Linked DNA regions of Drosophila melanogaster. The protein of the gene in region 2 interacts with the protein of the main gene of each other region in a pairwise test. Each region holds a gene or a part of one and is shown on either strand. Other genes may lie near its edges. The genes, in order: CG18539, Ptp61F, Cyp9f2 and saturn.

What was found.
Region 1: the proteins of Ptp61F (region 2) and CG18539 interact in a two-hybrid assay, tested with the Drosophila melanogaster proteins (one large-scale study listed by BioGRID).
Region 3: the proteins of Ptp61F (region 2) and Cyp9f2 interact in a two-hybrid assay, tested with the Drosophila melanogaster proteins (one large-scale study listed by BioGRID).
Region 4: the proteins of Ptp61F (region 2) and saturn interact in a two-hybrid assay, tested with the Drosophila melanogaster proteins (one large-scale study listed by BioGRID).

What each region holds. Positions count from the first base shown.
Region 1 is NT_033778.4:18,296,501-18,299,429, forward strand, and holds CG18539 (uncharacterized protein), read left to right. Parts: upstream 1-1,680; 5' UTR 1,681-1,699; coding exon 1,700-1,765; intron 1,766-1,823; coding exon 1,824-1,976; intron 1,977-2,042; coding exon 2,043-2,381; 3' UTR 2,382-2,403; downstream 2,404-2,929. Other genes in the region: CG18537 (uncharacterized protein), read left to right, coding at 1-133; CG18538 (uncharacterized protein), read left to right, coding at 570-617, 696-851, 907-1,251; CG18540 (uncharacterized protein), read left to right, coding at 2,833-2,907.
Region 2 is NT_037436.4:1,344,581-1,352,301, reverse strand, and holds the start of Ptp61F (protein tyrosine phosphatase 61F), read left to right. Parts: upstream 1-1,702; 5' UTR 1,703-1,825; coding exon 1,826-1,930; intron 1,931-2,759; exon of another isoform or gene 2,760-3,103; intron 3,104-5,851; coding exon 5,852-6,025; intron 6,026-6,096; coding exon 6,097-6,359; intron 6,360-6,437; coding exon 6,438-6,804; intron 6,805-7,140; coding exon 7,141-7,676; intron 7,677-7,721. Other genes in the region: CG9166 (uncharacterized protein), read right to left, coding at 271-449, 513-773, 831-1,116. UniProt on the Drosophila melanogaster protein: Non-receptor protein tyrosine phosphatase. Required for maintaining dock/dreadlocks in its non-phosphorylated state. Negative regulator of InR/insulin-like receptor signaling through dephosphorylation of tyrosines when recruited by dock/dreadlocks.
Region 3 is NT_033777.3:12,402,786-12,407,642, reverse strand, and holds Cyp9f2 (cytochrome P450 9f2), read left to right. Parts: upstream 1-1,614; 5' UTR 1,615-1,734; coding exon 1,735-1,940; intron 1,941-2,753; coding exon 2,754-3,273; intron 3,274-3,334; coding exon 3,335-3,992; intron 3,993-4,049; coding exon 4,050-4,216; 3' UTR 4,217-4,303; downstream 4,304-4,857. Other genes in the region: CG5167 (uncharacterized protein), read right to left, coding at 1-919; Sol1, read right to left, coding at 4,763-4,857. UniProt on the Drosophila melanogaster protein: May be involved in the metabolism of insect hormones and in the breakdown of synthetic insecticides.
Region 4 is NT_037436.4:14,201,313-14,204,812, reverse strand, and holds saturn (saturn), read right to left. Parts: upstream 1,491-3,500; 5' UTR 1,380-1,490; coding exon 1,161-1,379; intron 1,102-1,160; coding exon 604-1,101; 3' UTR 519-603; downstream 1-518.

The DNA.
Region 1 (2,929 bases), on a different chromosome or scaffold from region 2:
CGTCTTTGAAGCCGAAGGTTTTCCGGATATCGTGCCACCTGGATTCTACAAGATTATTTTCAATTGTACCGGACCTGATCAGCCATCGTGGAGCTTTATCGGAATTTTTAAAATAATAAACAAAATGTTTTAGCTATGTAGCAATAAATATATATCAAATAAAATACGGCCAAATATTTTTTTAAATCCTTTAAAGCGAGCTTATACACGTGTTTTTCTGAATTTGAACTCGTATCTTCGTACATAGATAAATGTAATACAATGATGTAATAGAACATAAACAATAAAAAACAGAAATAAAAACATTTCCAAAATCAGAAACTAAATATATCAGTTACAATAAGCACATACTTATATAAAAAAGTTATGCGAAGTTTAAGTGTTTCAATGGACTATTCGTATTTAATGGCTGTAAATAGTTATATAATCATATACATTTAGGTACTGTGGGAAAGATCTGCAATAGTGTGATAAAATGCCGTGACAATGTGCACATTTTTTTTTATCAATGGACATGGCTATATAAGCATAAAGCCCGATTTCCCAATACTTAGTTTCATATTGTAATTATGTCTGTCCGGTGTTTTATTGCTGAACTTTGTATGGCACTCCTGCTCGTAGGTGAATGCCAAACGGCGGTAGGTTCACAGTTCATATCTTCCATATATCTTGTAATAATTTAAAGAATTATCCAGCGGAAATGGGACTACGAACCCATATCCATCGAAACCCACTCATCCGATGAGAGTTTAATAAAATTAGATATGAAAATTGAGCGAATCAATCGCGGAGTGTTTGGATTGACGCCAAGGTTGAGTGGAACTACGATACGACTGATGAAACCATGGTACGTGTGTCTTACTTGATAAGTTAGTCCTTTGAATAAGGATTGTGATTTTTCCGTAGGTCGAGGCCAATGTCCTTCGAAGCTCGACGGGAGATGTCAGCGACTACAAGCTGCTTCCTTGGGCCATTCCCAAGCAATCGCTATACGAACATCTGAACACCTATTACAAGGATGTTTCGATGAAGAACTTTAAGCACTGTTCCAATATTCCGCAATTCGAGGGTAAATTCCAACCGCCATTGCCAAAGCAGACCTATTTTGGCAACAAATGCGTGATCGATGGCGATGGGTTGCCAGAAATTGTTCCTGCCGGTTTTTATCTGATTGTGATCAAATGCTATGGACCAGGTCAACCCACATGGAACACTACGTCAGTTTTTAAAATCACACCCAAATTAATGTAAAAACCATTATCTTAGATAAACACATTTTTTTTTTAACTGCGCTTATGTTTAATAAAATCAATGGTAAAAATTTGAAATATTTTAGCTGTTTCGATAAGAAATGAGTGTCCTTGAAGGAGGTAAGAAATATTCAAGAAAAATTCAAGATCAGTAACAATTACTAGTGGAAGAGAATTTTCAGTTATTGTGTAAAAAAATTCACATTTCTCAAATACTTAATATACATTTGTAAGTTTGCTCAATTGTAGCTAAAGACCAACCAATAAACAAAATTCATATTTAATATTCAAAGTCCACACATTTTTTCATGTTTTTGGCATGCAGTCTTGTTTGACATGGTTAGCCCAAAATGTAACAGGGAGTTATATAATTAATACATGCAATCCACTGCAGTTTGCTATATAAATGCAACTAAATTGCAAGTTGATGAAGTTTAAAGTCTGGCTAAATGATTTCGTGTTGTTCGTTGCTATTTTTGCTCGCTACGCTGCTGATCGATGGCTGCAAAGCAGGAGTATGCCAGGATATTCTAACAAAATAGGATACTTATAATTTCTGTGCTCATTCCACAGCGTAACTGGGAGTATGAGCCCTTATCATTGACATCCTATAGCTCAGATGAGAGTCTCTTGAAGATCACCACAAAAATTGATCGACTTGGGCGCAGCGATTATGCATTTTCCATGACACTGGACTGGAACTACGATGTGGATAAGGACACTATGGTTGAGATATTGATTTTAATATCAAGTTTCTATTAATTAAGAAAATGGTTATTAATCGCTGGACAGGTGGAGGCAGACGTTCATCACTGCTCATCGGGTGACGAAGACGATTACAAAATGATGCCCTGGTCCATTCCTAAACAGCCATTTTTCGAATATCTAAACGGTTTCTACAAGGACGCGTTCATCAAGAATGTGGGCCATTGCTCCAATATGGTGCAGTTCGATGGCGATTTTGTGCCACCATGGCCACGAAATGTTTACAAGTTGGACAAATGTGTGGCCAGTGGCGAGGGACTGCCAGATATTGCACCAGAGGGTTTCTACAAGCTAGAGTATAAAATGACAGGACAGGTGGATTGGGGTTTCACCCTGATTGTTAAGGTCTCGCCAAAGGTTATTTAATATTATATTATATGCGGCTCTTAAGAAGTTCAAACATTTTTTTTTCTACTTAACAAATTGTACTATGTTGTGTAAAATGAATTTATATTAAATTGTATTAAATTAATATTTATAAAATTTATATTTTTGTATTTTATTTACAACGAATTTATCGTCTACATTATCAACTTCTGCATATCCAAATATGAAAGAAAATTTTTTTAGCCAATGCAAGCATGACTTGCGCGTTGTGTATTTGTGTAATTTGCTAAATTTGGATGGGTGATACCGTGACGATCAGTAAATTTAGATAAGCTTGACATGATTTACACCTATTCCAACTTCAATAATCTAACAATGTGCACAATTGTACACAATGTTTTCGTGTCACAAATGTTTTTAAAAGATAAATCTAAATTGACAGACTATAAAAGCAAGTAGGTTGCAACTTATATTGTCAATTTAACCAGAAATGATTTCGTTTTGCATTTCATCGCTTTTATCAGTGTGTATTTTTGCAAACCTTTACAATGGTTGTGCGGCAAAGGTATGCTAAGAAAGAAATATTC
Region 2 (7,721 bases):
ATTCTGACGGATTATGGCTATTATTGCCCTATTAGAGCTCGATGTTAATAAAAATTACAGTTATTTTAAAGATGGCTGCCTGAGCGAATGCACCCAGTAAGAAACTAGAGATGGGCGATCGCATAGTTATTTTGGCCGTGACACGAGAATAACAAGTCTGACACGAAATATTTATTCATACCTTATTGTTTTTCCAAATCACACTGCAAGTGATCTCGCACGTACGCAGCTCTAAAGAGTTTTTTTTTATTAATAGTGAAATGTATTATTTTACGTCTTTAGTTTCGATTTGTCTACGAAAGAAAGGGGTGTTTGAGCCATGAAAATATCGCCATAGGGATTGGTGGGTTTTTGGCTTTCGCGGTCGAATTCGGAGCCAATGGCCCACAGCGACTCCAGATCGTATTCCTCGCGAGCACTCGGTGAAAATATGTGCAGGGCAATGTTGCCTAAAAGGAAACGGAACGTGTTAGAGCGGAGAAACCGGAATATGCATTTATTTCAATACCCACCCAAGTCCATGGCCATCCAATCCCGGCTCTTATCGCCCTCGATGCGCGGCAATATGTCACCCTTGCCCCGCTTGATCTTGAACATTCGGCGCACGAACTCCGCGGTGGACAGCATGTGTCGGTAACTGCGACCACTGCAAACCACCAGGTGGTCAACGTACTTCAGGTTCTCCGGCACGTAGCAGACGAATATGTCGTCCACATTCTCCTTGCGGAGCAGCTCCACCAAGTCCTCAACGTCGAACACTCCGCGAACACCTCCTGCAAAGGGAAACAAAGGCTTAAATTTCTGCTCTCCCTGGACGATTGCCAACCTACGCTTTAAATTGAGGCCGTAATAGTGATCCAGCTCCAGGTCCGGCTCTGGAAGTTGCTGCTCCTGGTGGCGTGCCTCTTCCACATCAAAAATCTCCGTGGCTTCCTCATCGCGGAATATTTTGTACTTGTCTTGCACGCCGGCAACCAAAGTCTTTTCGGGATTGCCTTCGATTTCCTGGCCCTTCGCTGCCTGTTGTGGCGGCTTGGAGAACTCGTGGTGGAAGCAACGCAGGACAGGCACACTCAGGCGCCTGTCGTGCACTAGGCGGAACACGCGGGTCAGCATTTTGCTTTGGCTTCTTTCTGTTGTTATTAATAAATTGGGTAACAGTTGTTGATTCGATACTTTTGGTATTACTCGATAACACTGGTCAACGATGAGCGATTGTAATATCGGTATTTTAAAGTATTTGAACCCAATTTTCTTATCAGAATTTTTCTATTTTACTTTTAAAATATTTTATTTTATTTTTTTTATTTTATTTTTATTTAAAATATTTTATTTCAATTGTTTTTATATTGTTATGTCTTTAGTTAAGTATTTAATTTTATATAAATTATAGAAAACTTATCCCGAATGTTATATTATGTTTCAGTAAAGTTCTAATTTCTGCGCAAGCACTTTAGTTTCAGTATGTGTTCTATTGCTCTACAGCGCCTGGTCACATTATTTGATGGTGAAAATATCGATAGACGTAACTAATATTTCAGAATAATAATGTCGCAGATACAATATATTGTGTTTGGCTTGCATTTGTAAATAGGAATCACCATAAGAGAATATAATATGTAATGCGATCAATATAGTGATGTACAATCGAACTATCACTCGGTATCGCACTGCAAATACCGATAGTATTTCGCAAGCTCAAATATTCGATACATCGACACTGTCGTGAGTTGTCCAGCTCTAGTTCTCCTCTGAAATTAACCAGCCGCCTGATAACCAAATTAAAAGTTATTAAATCGGAACAAATCGCAGCAAAGTGTGCACAATGAGCGAGCAGAAAACGAGTGGGAGTGGGTCGGCGGCCGCTGCCCGTCTGCAAATCGAGGCGGAGTACAAGGACAAGGGGCCGCAATGGCATCGCTTCTACAAGGTAATTGGCAACAACAACTGCGACTGCACTGAAAACTGGTTACAAACTGGACGAATGATTGTGGCACAGTTCGATTCGCCAAGGATTCGCAACGGATGCGGAGTATACACCTTTCCACAGCTCCTTGGCGCTCCGATTTCCACGAAAATGTGATGAGTGCGCAAAAGGCTTCTGCAGATGCCTCCACCACCAACACCAGTGCAGCGGCGAGCTTTACGTGTGTGCGTGTGTATTGTGTGTCAGTGCTGTTGTTGTTGCAGTTGTTGCTTTAACAGCCAGGCTTTGGCCAAAAACAAAAACCCATGGAAAAGAATGTACAAACAGAATAGCACCAACACACATACACGCACACCTGCTGCACTTTACTTTGCATTCTCCATCGAACGCGTGTGTGTGTGAGTTCGTGCGTGTGTATTGGCCTGTATTTGGCATATTTATGCTTGTTATTCTGCCATACCTTTCCCCAAAAACGCTTTCCTTTGACTATCAATAGAGCGCTTGAGCTATTCCGCGAATTCTCGTTTGGCCAAATCAAATTGGAGGCGATTTCTGGGAAGCTCGTTGTGTTTGTGATTGCCGTCCCCCAAAAACAAAATACAATTCGTGGAGGGGTGACAGTGCTCTCCACTGAAGAACTCCTCTAACGCGCGCACACACACACACACCCGCTCGCGTTGAGCAGGAGAGAGAGGCTCACGCACACAGGGGCACAAAGGGCATGCGTCTGGTTTTTTGAGTCTCGCTTTGGGCTGCTTCTGGTTGCCTGTCGGAATTGGAGTCGGAATCCTCTCCTTGCCCCTTCTTCTCTCCTCCTCCACCTCCACTCGTTCTTTATAGCCAGTTCCGGCGAACTGTCTTCAGCTGCTACTCCTCCTCCTCTGTTCCTCTGTGCCTCTTTCAGCGCTTCCACTCACTTGAATTGGGATTTCACGGAATTCCACTCCGCAGTTAGGATGACACAGTATATGGTCGTGTGTAGAAATATCTCGTTTCTGGACCCGCTCCTCGGCATCCTCGTTCGTCATCCTTTGTGCTCGCGTCGAGGATAATCTAATTTTCCAGCTAACTGGAAGGCAGCCCGCAATTGTGCGTCGAAACTGACTGGAAAATAGCTACCAGCCATTTCCACTGAAATACAGTGCAACTTGACTAAGACGATCTTGTTAGGCCAAAGTGAGATTTCAATAAACTTTCTTTAATCATATTTTCTCATTAAATCATAAATAGTTTTCAGCTTGATAATATTACTTTCGTGAAATTCATCTAAATTCGCTGAATTTTATATGTTCCATAGCATGTAAACGTTGACTCATTTTTGTTGCAATGAAAAACAACTATGATCAATGTGAAAACATCACATTTTTCGATGATTACTTTATGAATAAGACCGACCTACCCCAATTTTTACTTTAATAACATTTAGCTGTGCATGCTACTACATTTCTGAAGAAAATTATAATCCATTATAGGCACTTATCTGTCTTTATTATAGAAATTCCAAAACACATTCTTCTAAGAATTAATAAATCGCAAATATGTGTGAACATAAACGGTACAACTAATTTTGTGGTTATCATTAAAACTTCCAATTTATTTGACATTTGCCATATGATAGCCCATCATAGGGGATTTGGACTGTAGCCAAAAACGCAGTGACGCATTCGGACCGTATTGTTTTGCTATGCTTTGCTTTATGTTTAATCATTTCCATTGAACGAAGTGCGTTACACTGGGTCTTCTCAACTCGCCGCCCCTCCCCGCCTATCAGCTCATACCTAGCGCCTTCTCGATCCATCCGTTCCATCAACATCCCACCCAACCCACTCCGTCCCATTATGACAACCTCCGTGGACTGTGACGAAGCTCCTCCACAGCTATACCCTGCCAGAGGGTGTTATAGTCCTTACCAGTCGTTGGTATCAACAGGTGACCGTCTTCTTTTTCGTTTCTCTGGAAACAGTCAAGCCAGATTTTATGAAATATGAAACTTGTTAACTCGCATAGTGTGTGTGAAAGGGTATGTCAAATTCGTATTGGCCAAGAAGTCTTTATCCATCGTTGCAATTGTGCTCTGCGTGCATGCAATGTTTTTGTTACTGTTTCTCGATTTCCTTCGAGCGTTGCAAGGTAAAGCAGAAACATAATAACCATAAAACGGTTTGCACGACACGCTTTGGAAACCAAAGCCCCCGAGATTTCCGCGCCTTCGCTTGGATTTCGCCACTCCGTTTAGAAGGGTCACCTGGATAGCCACCGAGCATAAAAAACAGTATGTAGCTGGTAAACGGCCCAAGACTTAATGTTCAACGGAGCCGAAGAACTGTTTTCTCCATCAGAATGAATCCAATCCAAGCTATGGATTTACATAAGTTCCGGATGGATTGTTGATTTTATATATCATATCTAGTTTGATATAGTACAAGGAATACAACTTTATACATCATAAGTACACTGAAAGTCTTTATCATTGGCAAACATTTAAATAAAGCAGCTCAATTATCTGCGCGTATTCTCACGTGACTCGTCGATTATCAGACCTTAAATAGGTGATTGTAGAAATGCTATTGAGTTGAGGAGTTTCGAGAAATATTAAGTGCAACCATGGATTTCTTTCCGTTTCTAATTACGAATTATCAAATGTAGCGATAGCCATTGAGATTTTGCTCTTTGAAAAGCTTCCTTATCGGTCATTAGCCCGTCTCAGATTTGGAGATTACGTAAAAATATGACTCTTTAAAGTTATTTCATAACAGGTCAGCTGCAGAATTTGCAGCTGATTCATTGTTGAAACATGACGAACTGACAATTAACAACTGATTTTCGAGCTGCAATCAACGCGAGCTGATGGGTAACCATATTAAATGGTTACTCATCACCGCATGCATGTGATTAGCTTTGAGCCGAGTTTAAGGAGCACTTGTCGTCGCCAGGTGGTTGCCATTGACCTTGTTAACGGTTCGGTAGTCGGATTCGATGGTTCAATTGGCGGGGCCACTTTCAGCTGCGCCAGCAATTCCCCGTTCACACTGCTGATAATGCCGCACCGGTCATGCCCAAGATAATGCCATTACCGACAGCTTGCTTTGCCATCGCCATCACCAACATCGCATGGCTAATTAGTCACGCCCGCTATGTAGACTGGGTGGGCTTTTCATATGCCGCATGGTTCCCTCCCAGTCCGATGCCCCTTACATGTATCTACTATCGCTTCAATCGCAGGGTTTGCCAATCCGGAGGAGCCCCTTGTCGCTGGGCCAAGTGATGAATCACTGCAAAGGGGGCAACCCCCATGGAAAAAAACAAATTCGATTTCTGTAACATTCTAGCATTCTTCTAACAGGATCTTATCAATTCGTTTCTTGACAATTTGTTTGCGAGTCAGTCAAACAAATGTATCACTTTAAAACTAGTTATTATCAGACCATTATGAGTCTGAACGTTTTCATTTTCTCGGAACACAAATCGTAAAAAGCTTAATTGCGCCTTACAGTTTCTCAGTTTGTATGGTTCTAAAAGGAAGCTCTGATATTCGTTTTAACAATGCCATTCAATACTATTGTGCACTGCTATTTGCTGTTTGCTCTTGTATCGAAGAATTCGTTGGGTCATTTCATGCATAAATGTTTAATTAGTTTGAACTTTTGGTCTTATTACTGTCTTAGATAATTGAGTAACACGAAAACTATATTTTTTACGAATTTTGTACCAGAAAGAAGAGATCTTCCAGTAAGACACTATAGTAGTTGTCTTCTGGGGTCTGGAACGCTTAGGTAAATAGCGCAAATCTCACAAAATCCCCTGAATTACCGCCTGCAAATTGACTGATAAGTTGTCAGTAAAGCGACCGAATTTTAATACCACCTCAACCTTTGTTGTTATGGGTAGTTTCGATTGTACTAATCGCTCTTTTCGGAATTCCAGGAAATTTGTGAGACCTGCGACCGGGAGGCGAAGGAGAAGCAGTTCAGCACCTCGGAATCGGAACGCCACACGAACCGCGGCCTGAATCGCTATCGGGATGTGAATCCGTACGATCATTCCCGCATTGTTTTGAAGCGCGGCAGCGTAGACTACATCAATGCGAACCTGGTTCAGGTGGGTCACGTTTTTAATGCATACACACACCCCTAATTAAACGCCTAATGCGATCAATCAATCCTTTCTAGCTGGAGCGCGCCGAGCGCCAGTACATCCTGACCCAAGGACCGCTGGTGGACACAGTGGGCCACTTCTGGCTGATGGTATGGGAGCAGAAGTCCAGAGCAGTTCTCATGCTCAACAAGCTGATGGAGAAGAAACAGATCAAGTGCCACCTCTACTGGCCCAACGAGATGGGAGCCGACAAGGCCCTGAAACTGCCCCACGTCAAACTCACCGTGGAGCTCGTCCGTCTCGAGACCTACCAGAACTTTGTGCGGCGATGGTTCAAGTGAGTAGAACTCTTTATTCTTCTTCTGCTTCAAACCATTTGTACATGTGGACTAATTGCCTTTGACTATTTCTCTAGATTAACCGATCTCGAAACGCAGCAGAGTCGTGAAGTGATGCAGTTCCACTACACCACATGGCCGGACTTTGGCATTCCCAGCTCGCCGAACGCATTCCTTAAGTTCTTGCAGCAGGTTCGCGACTCCGGCTGCCTCAGCCGCGACGTGGGTCCAGCCGTAGTGCACTGCAGTGCCGGAATCGGGCGGTCGGGCACCTTCTGCCTGGTGGACTGTTGCCTGGTACTTATCGACAAGTACGGAGAGTGCAATGTGTCCAAGGTGCTCTGCGAGCTGCGCAGCTACCGCATGGGCCTCATACAGACCGCCGACCAGCTGGACTTCTCCTACCAGGCGATCATCGAGGGCATTAAAAAGCTGCACGATCCCGTATGTATGCGCGACCAGCGGTCGGCGTTTGGGAGTCAAACTTGGGGGCTGCCAAGCACCGCCGTATATATTGCACATCGCTATTTATTCTGGGGGGTCACAGAAATCTCTGGGCTTGGTTATGGTTACTAGAATTCATATTGTTTAATGGAATTATGATTACTTTTGAAAACTGTATTATGTTTAGTTTTGTTTTTTATTATGTGATCTAGTATCAGCTTAATGATTATTGTTTAATTGATGCGAAAAAGAAACCATTGTTTTTGGTTTGCAGAGATTTCTGTGAAGGCCCTGATTATTTTCCGCGACTAATTAGAACATTTGATTTCTCTTCAGACCTTTCTTGACGCTGAAGAACCCCTCATTAGCAACGACACAGAGACTCACACACTGGATGAGCTGCCGCCGCCATTGCCCCCACGCGTCCAATCGCTTAATCTGCCACTGGCCCCCAATTCCGGCGGTATACTTTCGCTCAATATGCGCGCGGCCCAGGCTAATGGAGCTGAAAGTATCGGCAAAGAGCTGAGCAAGGACGCCCTGAACAACTTCATTAATCAGCACGACATGATCCACGATGCCGAGGTGGCCGACAGTCGTCCCTTGCCGCCATTACCCGTAAGGGCTTTCAACGATTCGGACAGCGATGAGGATTACTTGCTGGATGACGATGACGAGGACGACACCGATGAGGATGAGGAGTACGAGACCATTAACGAGCACGATGCCGATCCAGTTAATGGACACGTGCCCGCGACAACACAGCCACATGCCGACGATGTTAATGCCAACAACGAGAAGCCAGCGGTGCCAGTCGACGAGCAGCACAAGGCGAACGGCATCGATCCAATTCCAGGCCAGCTCCCAGCCAGGTAAGAATCTAGTCTTAGATCTGCTCAGTATCTATTTTTCAACCG
Region 3 (4,857 bases), on a different chromosome or scaffold from region 2:
TAAGCAGCAGCTGGCGGCCAAAGGAGAACTTGGCCATAATGCCAATGATAGAGGCGAAGAGCACGACAACGCTGGCCGCAAACCATGAGGGATACGTCATGTAGGCCTGCATCTGAACGGGTCGCTTCTTCTCCAGTTCGTAAAGGAAACGCTGCGAGCGCATCACCACCGAGCGATCTGTTTCAGGGAACGGCAGGATCACCTTGTTGTCCACTTCCGCGGCACGGGAAAGCGGCGATCGTGACTTAAGAGCCGGATGAAAGTTGGGCAGACGCTCGGGAAACAACTTGCGCCGGATGGCCACAGACTCGCTCCGGTTGGCGATAGCGTGAATGGCGCTCTCCCAGGTGCCGGTGTTGAGTGCAGCACTGCCCGTTCCCTTGGTACCTCCCTTGACGCCCAGATGGACAAAGTTCTCCACTGAGTTGACCACGCCGTCGAAGTTCTTCTCCACGAAGGTGACTCCCATGTCGGCGGGAATGGAATCAAAGCCGCACGCACTGATCACGTACACGCCACGCTCCTTGGCGAGATCATGGTAGCGCAGCTGCATGGTTTCCATGTACTGTGGCTCTCCGCTTACGTCTACGTGATGCGTTCCCGCCTCGATGCAAGCCCTGACCACTCGCTCGCCGAAGAACCGATATGGTCCGGCCGTATTGACTAAAATGCGGCAGCGTTTGGCCATCTCTAGCAGTGACGCCTCGTTGTTCACGTCCGCGATGACGATCGGCGTTTGGGAGAGGTCTGTCTTGGACTTTGCACCCATCTCCCGCAGCACCGACTGCAGCTTCTCCTGGTTGCGTCCGGCGATGCCCCATTGCAGGCCCTTCAGCACGCTGACAGCCTCGAAGACGGTGTACTTTCCGGTAAACCCGGAGGCACCGAAGATTATGGCATCCAGTTTCTTAGCCGCCATTCCAGAGTCCACAGATATGCGACTATAATGATTTGACTAGAAATGTCTTATCACTTCCAGACCGAAAGGTAATTCGTCTGCTTCGGCCGACTGGCGAAATGTTAATAATGCTAATCGCACCGTATAAGAGCTGTATTTATTGAAGATAGTAGCGTCGTGACTGTACAAAACTGAATCGAACAGGTAAAGATCGATTGCAGATAGCAACAAGTGGCTAGTAACTCGGATAATGAAGTTGAAATGAAATAAAATATTTTTACTAGAAACTATTGAAAATGAAAATGCTTTGCGTCCTTTTTTATCGATGATAATTTAATTTATGGTGATGATGGTTTAATTTACATCCTAATACTTAAAATCCCTCAGATCAAATTGTTAGTTCTCGAACTACTACGCATAAACTTCGATAGCCAACAAGAAATCGATGAATTTTAAAACGATAAATTGGCCAAGTTTAAATATATGAATTTAATGAAGTTGTGTGCCATTAAAATAGAAAAAATATATATTAAAGAATTAGAAAACAGAATTTCGAAATATTCTGTTTCTATATTTTAAACATAATATTGGTATGCTCAGAGTCGTCAGCATTTTCTCCAACACGCCGTGATAATGAAATGATGAGTGATATTCTAAATCATTTGCGCTCAGAAATTTGTACATACTTGTGTGTATTACAGACAACAAGTATTTTATCAAATGCAGTACACGAAGCTTTGTTAGAAAGCTCTGCGTGGGGACAACAAAACGCTCCCGATTGTTTGTGGCGTAGTTAGTTATATTCTGGACGCTTAGATCGCCAAGCTAGGGTCAACATGTTGTGGGAGTTCTTCGCCCTATTTGCGATCGCTGCCGCCTTGTTCTACCGTTGGGCGTCCGCCAACAATGATTTCTTCAAGGATAGGGGCATCGCCTATGAAAAGCCAGTGCTCTACTTTGGCAACATGGCCGGCATGTTCCTGCGGAAGAGGGCCATGTTTGACATAGTCTGTGATCTCTACACCAAAGGCGGAAGTAAGAAGTGAGTTAAATTCATTGATCCGGATTTAATAAGTTGATTACCTAATATGCATCCGGCTCACTTGCACTTGCACTTAAAACACGTTTGGAACAAGTGTGTATCTACTGGCCTCCAGCATTGCGTACAAGCCTATATAAAATCGTATGTCAAGGTCAGGCAATCAGTGATCTATCTATACACACATTTAGTGGGTGCGGCTGCGTTCGACTACGTTTTGAATATACAATTACAGAAATTCAGAAATACTCTATTATATTTTGTTAAGTCTTTTATCTAAAGCAGTGTGTAACTGCCAAGATAATTGGCGAAATGCTTGGTTCTATTAGTTTAGTTTGCCATAATCTTATCGATTATACGACAGCTTTAAATGTTGTTTGTCTCGGACGGCAAACTTGATAGGAAAAATAATTGATAAAGCTCCTGAAAAGTGCTATAACGATAAGGTTATCTAATTTATTAATTAACTTCATATTGGGGCAACTCTTTGTATGACTTTACCCTTTTTGTTACTTTATAAACATGCAATCATTATTGTACTCAGCCTTTTCAATTGGATTTAATGTACATATGATTTATTTATAGACCAATACGAGAAATCCGCTTTATAAATTTATAGTTTTCCAAAAAGAAATCGAGATGGGTTAATTGAAAATTCGTCGGATAGGTAATGAACAACGCTAGCCATGCATAAACTCGAATTTCTGTTATCGTTTTCTAAACTTGTTGAGCGCACGATTAATAATTTCTGATTTGATTTATCAGTGTGTGACTCACAAAAAGCTTATCGGTCATTAACATTATTATTTTTTTTAGATTTTTTGGTATCTTTGAGCAGCGACAACCACTTTTAATGGTGCGCGACCCAGATCTTATCAAGCAGATAACCATAAAGGACTTCGATCACTTTATCAATCATCGCAATGTGTTTGCCACCAGCAGCGATGATGATCCACATGACATGAGTAACCTTTTCGGCAGCTCGCTGTTCTCCATGCGAGATGCTCGGTGGAAGGATATGCGAAGCACTCTGAGTCCGGCATTTACAGGCAGCAAAATGCGTCAGATGTTCCAGCTGATGAACCAGGTGGCCAAGGAGGCCGTGGACTGTCTTAAGCAGGATGATTCAAGGGTTCAGGAGAATGAACTGGACATGAAGGACTACTGCACACGATTCACCAATGATGTGATCGCCTCGACAGCCTTTGGACTGCAAGTGAACTCGTTCAAGGATCGCGAAAATACCTTCTATCAGATGGGAAAAAAGCTGACCACATTTACATTCCTGCAGAGCATGAAGTTCATGTTGTTCTTCGCATTGAAGGGTCTTAATAAGGTTGGCACAGCATACACACATATCAAAAAAATATATTCCTTAATTTTAATAATCCTTGTAGATCCTTAAGGTCGAGCTTTTCGATAGGAAAAGCACTCAGTATTTCGTGCGTCTGGTGCTCGATGCTATGAAATACCGACAGGAGCACAATATTGTACGTCCCGACATGATAAACATGCTGATGGAGGCTCGTGGTATCATCCAGACGGAGAAGACCAAGGCATCTGCCGTTCGCGAGTGGAGCGATCGCGACATTGTCGCCCAGTGTTTCGTGTTCTTCTTTGCTGGCTTCGAGACTTCGGCGGTGCTGATGTGCTTCACCGCTCACGAGCTAATGGAGAACCAGGATGTGCAGCAGAGGCTATACGAGGAGGTACAGCAAGTGGACCAAGACCTGGAGGGCAAAGAACTGACCTATGAGGCAATTATGGGCATGAAGTATCTGGATCAGGTCGTCAACGAGGTTCTGCGAAAGTGGCCGGCGGCAATTGCCGTCGATCGAGAATGCAACAAGGATATCACCTTCGATGTGGATGGCCAGAAAGTCGAGGTCAAGAAGGGCGATGTCATCTGGCTGCCTACATGCGGCTTCCATCGTGATCCCAAGTACTTTGAGAACCCTATGAAGTTCGATCCGGAACGTTTTAGCGATGAGAACAAGGAGTCTATTCAGCCATTCACATACTTCCCCTTTGGCCTGGGTCAACGCAACTGCATTGGTAAGTTGATTGATTCAAAATTGTTCTTCGAAAAAATGTAAAATGTATTTATTATAGGTTCCCGATTCGCTCTACTTGAAGCAAAGGCTGTTATCTACTATCTTTTGAAGGACTACCGCTTTGCCCCTGCCAAGAAATCCTGCATTCCACTAGAGCTCATTACTTCCGGTTTTCAGTTGTCACCCAAAGGCGGCTTTTGGATTAAACTTGTTCAAAGGAACTAATCTTATAAACGATCAAAATAATAATATGTTTTGTTGAATGTTATGTTTTAAAGAAGTTGACATTATTAAATTTAAACAATTAATGGTAATTTGTTTCTTTGTTTTTAATTTATACCAAAAATGATAAAAAGATAGCATATACTTATGTCGTGACTCTACAAAACTGAATCGAACAGGTAAAGATCGATTGCAGATAACAACGAGTGGCTCGTTTACACGGTAACTCTGATAATGAAGTTGAAATTAAATAAATAATTTTTACCAGAAACTATTGAAAATGAAAATGCTTGGCGGAGTTTTTATCGATGATATCACGTTTAATTTACATCCTAATACTTAAAATCCCTCAACTTAAATTGTTAGTTCTTGAACTACTACGCATAAACTTCGATAGCCAACATGAAATCGATTGCTTTTAAAACGATAATTTGGCCAAGATTAAATATTTAAATTTAATGAAGTTGTGTGCCATTAAAATAGAAAAAAATTATTAAAATTTATTAAAGAATTAGAAAACAAAATTTCGAAATATTTTGTCTCTATATTTTAAACATAAGATTGGTATGCTTTATAAGTGCATAAGATACATGCAATTAATTTGTTTACATTTGCAACCGGCTGAGTTGACGCTGTTGAGACGA
Region 4 (3,500 bases), about 13 Mb from region 2:
ACACTTTCCCATGCAACTTGTTTGCTGCCAACATGTTGTTCGGCGATACTAAAAACTAAAACTATGCAACATCTACAAATCTGGCCAACAATAAACATTCTCATGTACCTATTAGATAGATGGCAATTACCTAAAACCGAAGCCAAATTGGCGACAGACGTACTTTCAAGCCGTTTTCAGCTGCCAAATAATTCAAATACATGCAGGGGGAAAAAAACGGGAAATTGTCGCCAGGTCTGCCAAATAGCCAAGAAATGCAAGCCAACTGCCAAACAATGTTGGGCCCCCGCAAAGTGGCTTGGAAACTGCCTCGATTAGGCAGCCGGCCACCTTTAAGGCTAATTGAGGGCCAACCACGTAGACTTGGGAACTATGCACGGGAAAACAGAGATACACAATGAAATAGGTGAAAATTACCACGAAAGACAATTGGAAATCACTTAAAGCCAAAACGCTTGCGAAGGCAAGATGTCAAGGTTGGCATAGGGCTATAATGAATTACGATCACAACAAGTTTTATACAAATCACTATGAATGGTTTATTACAAATTCGAGCACTACAATTTTAATGAAATTTCAATATGAAAATTCCTGAAAATAGATCTAGAGCTTCCATCCCGTTTTCGTGTTTGAAGGAGATGACCGTTTACGCATATTTCTATTTTCCACGGATACATTATTTTCAGCTATAATCTTCGTGGGTTTCGCTATATTAATGTGCTTGGTCTCATCTTTGGCTGGTTTTCCCTGATCTGTTAGAGCAAATCGCACCCTATTTTTTACTACGGAATCTTCTCGAGGTTCGGCGTCTGGAATCACAGGCTCCGGTTTATTTTCTTCTCGTACTAGCGCTTTAGTTTCACTAATTTTGTCGAATTCTGGGGGGAAAGGATCAAAGATTTCTTTAAATTCTGAAAGTTTGTCATCATTTGCGTTGGACTCTGGTTCATCCAAGTAATTAATATTACTCCTAATATCATCAGAAATCGCTAGCGGCGGCTTGGGTATTACGGTCGAATTTAGGGCTTCTTGCAGCATGGCCATATCCTTGGTTACAAACTTAACACGTTTTCTCAGTGACTCAATCTCCGACATAGGCACCTAGAACAAAACCCTATTAAGCCCCTTCTACTGTACGTTTTCCCCCCCCTTTAACTTACATCGTTCCATTTGTGTTTGAATCTTTTAAATACAAGTAAGAGGAGTACGATAAGGACAATCGTAAGAATCACCAGGTAAGTTGGTGATCTTTCCAATACCAGAAGTTTCAACAAATCAATGCCTTTAAGAGTAAACCAACAAGCCGATGGCCAAGAATTGCAATACGGCGATATCTTTACCGATGTTTCCAAATCAACTTTCTGACGATAGTTCCACATTTTGGGCCTGACTTTTTGTTAGTTTCTATCTGTAATTTAGGTTGTATTAAAACGGATAACCAACCGGTGATGTTATCACTTTTATAATGTGATTTGAAAAGTATTTTCTTTGCTTGCTAGACTGAATTCAAATGACAACATTTAAAATGTTCCTATGTGGAAAAATATTCGTTCTTTTAAAGAAAATAATTGTAGAATTCCACTCATTCCCTTTCCTTTTTCAGATAAAAATCTTTAACCTCTTCCCACAATTTTCCCTAATTGTTCTCGGTTCTTTAATGCATTTTCCCCCACCATTTCCCAGTGCAGCTTTTTTGAATGCCAAGTGCAGAGAGTGGGAAAAACATGTTCCCAGCAGCGGAGCAAAAACAAAGGCATTTGCATGACAAATTCAAGTCGGCCCAAGTTGTAGTTGCTTCGAAAAGAGTAGAAGCCATGGGAAGAACATCAAGGTCCGGAAAGTTGACAGAGCAACCACAATTTATAGCCTGCGTGGGGTTAACTGATTTGCACACGCCTTAAATGCAGACGATTTTAATTACTTTATCCGATTTCGTGCATAATTTTCGAAGAAATGTTTATGAAAAAAATTTGTTTAATAATTGAAATGCTAATCGATATTGATCGATGCTCTAGTAATGATCTAACTATTACAGCCTTAGTTTAATGATCAAAATGATCAAAAGTATATAACAGTACATAACGATACGAGATAAATGTGTCAGAATCGATAACATCAGCAGACTGAGTTTTATTTTGGGTCAAATTTTGTTCGCGACTTGACAAAAGTGCCGGCCTAAATTCTGAAGAGTTAACAATTGCGGCAAGTTAAACCTGTTTCTGGAACCCTCTCACTTCACTTCCTCCGATCGGATGAGCGAAAAAATAAATTCCAACAGCATGACAACCCCATCGAGTCAGCCAACTTGTAAGCCACATCAAGAGGGAAGGAGTTGGCTAAATTGAGGGGAGACAAGAAAAGACCCGCATCTTCTACCTTCAACCTTTTCGCTCGGTCCCCGAGAAAAGTTCACAAAAGCGGCCAAACTACTTTTGGCTCAAGAAGATGGCAGCAGGAAGCACGGTCGCCAGTTGACAAGCAGAACTGCCAAAGGAAGTTATATAAATTGCAGCAGATTCCATCTTGGAGCTCTCTCATTGTACTAACATAAATCTCATGCTGTTAATCTGATATATTTATTTTACTTTCGTTTTGGTTTCAGTTGCAATTAAGTCCCAGAAAAGAGAGCAATTTTTTTTTCGGTTGTAACTTTTATGACAGCCTCCCCCGCCGGCAATAATCATAAATTTTAGTTTTTGGGGGTGGCAGCGTTAGGAAAGCTCTTGAAAATTGCCCAATTGAACATCTATGTAGTTGTACAACAATTGAAACAGGCGAATAAGATGGGAAAAACTGATAACTAATTTAGGCAGAAGAAAAACAAGCAATTGAGCAAACCAGCTAATGGAAAATTGGGAAAAAAACCAAAGGCAACTTATAGCTGAAATTAACAATCTTAGATAAGCGAAGTCATGGAAACGCTTGTGAAAACATCAAATGTGATGAGGACAAATACTGAATTAAAAACTATATATATATATTTTTTAAGGAGCAGTGCACCAATAATTTTTTTAATTAAGATAAATTATAAATATTTTTATTTACAAATCAAAAAACCAAAACCAAAATGGAGCAAGAATGGGGGTTATGATTTATATGAAGCTCTACATGAAACCCCGAAAGAAATTATATTCAAGGGTGCTTACTGTCTCATGGATCCCCAACGACGCTGGGATAAACTATCAGGATTGCTGTAAGAAAAATTTTTATCAATTGGGATATCTAATAATAGTCTTATTCGGTTCAGTTTTAACCGCAATAGAAACATAGCAATATAGCAATCTTTCTAATCATCTTATTTTCTTTTATATAAGTTCATATATAGAATGAAATTTACGCCTAATTTTCCAAATATTTATATAGGCAGTTATTTAGAATTATTTAAAATTGCCAATATAATTATATAAAATTGTTATTTAAATAAATGATTTATTCTAGCTATAACTAGGTAACACTCATCACTGTATAATTTAAGAGAATTGTTGCACTCTCTTACGATC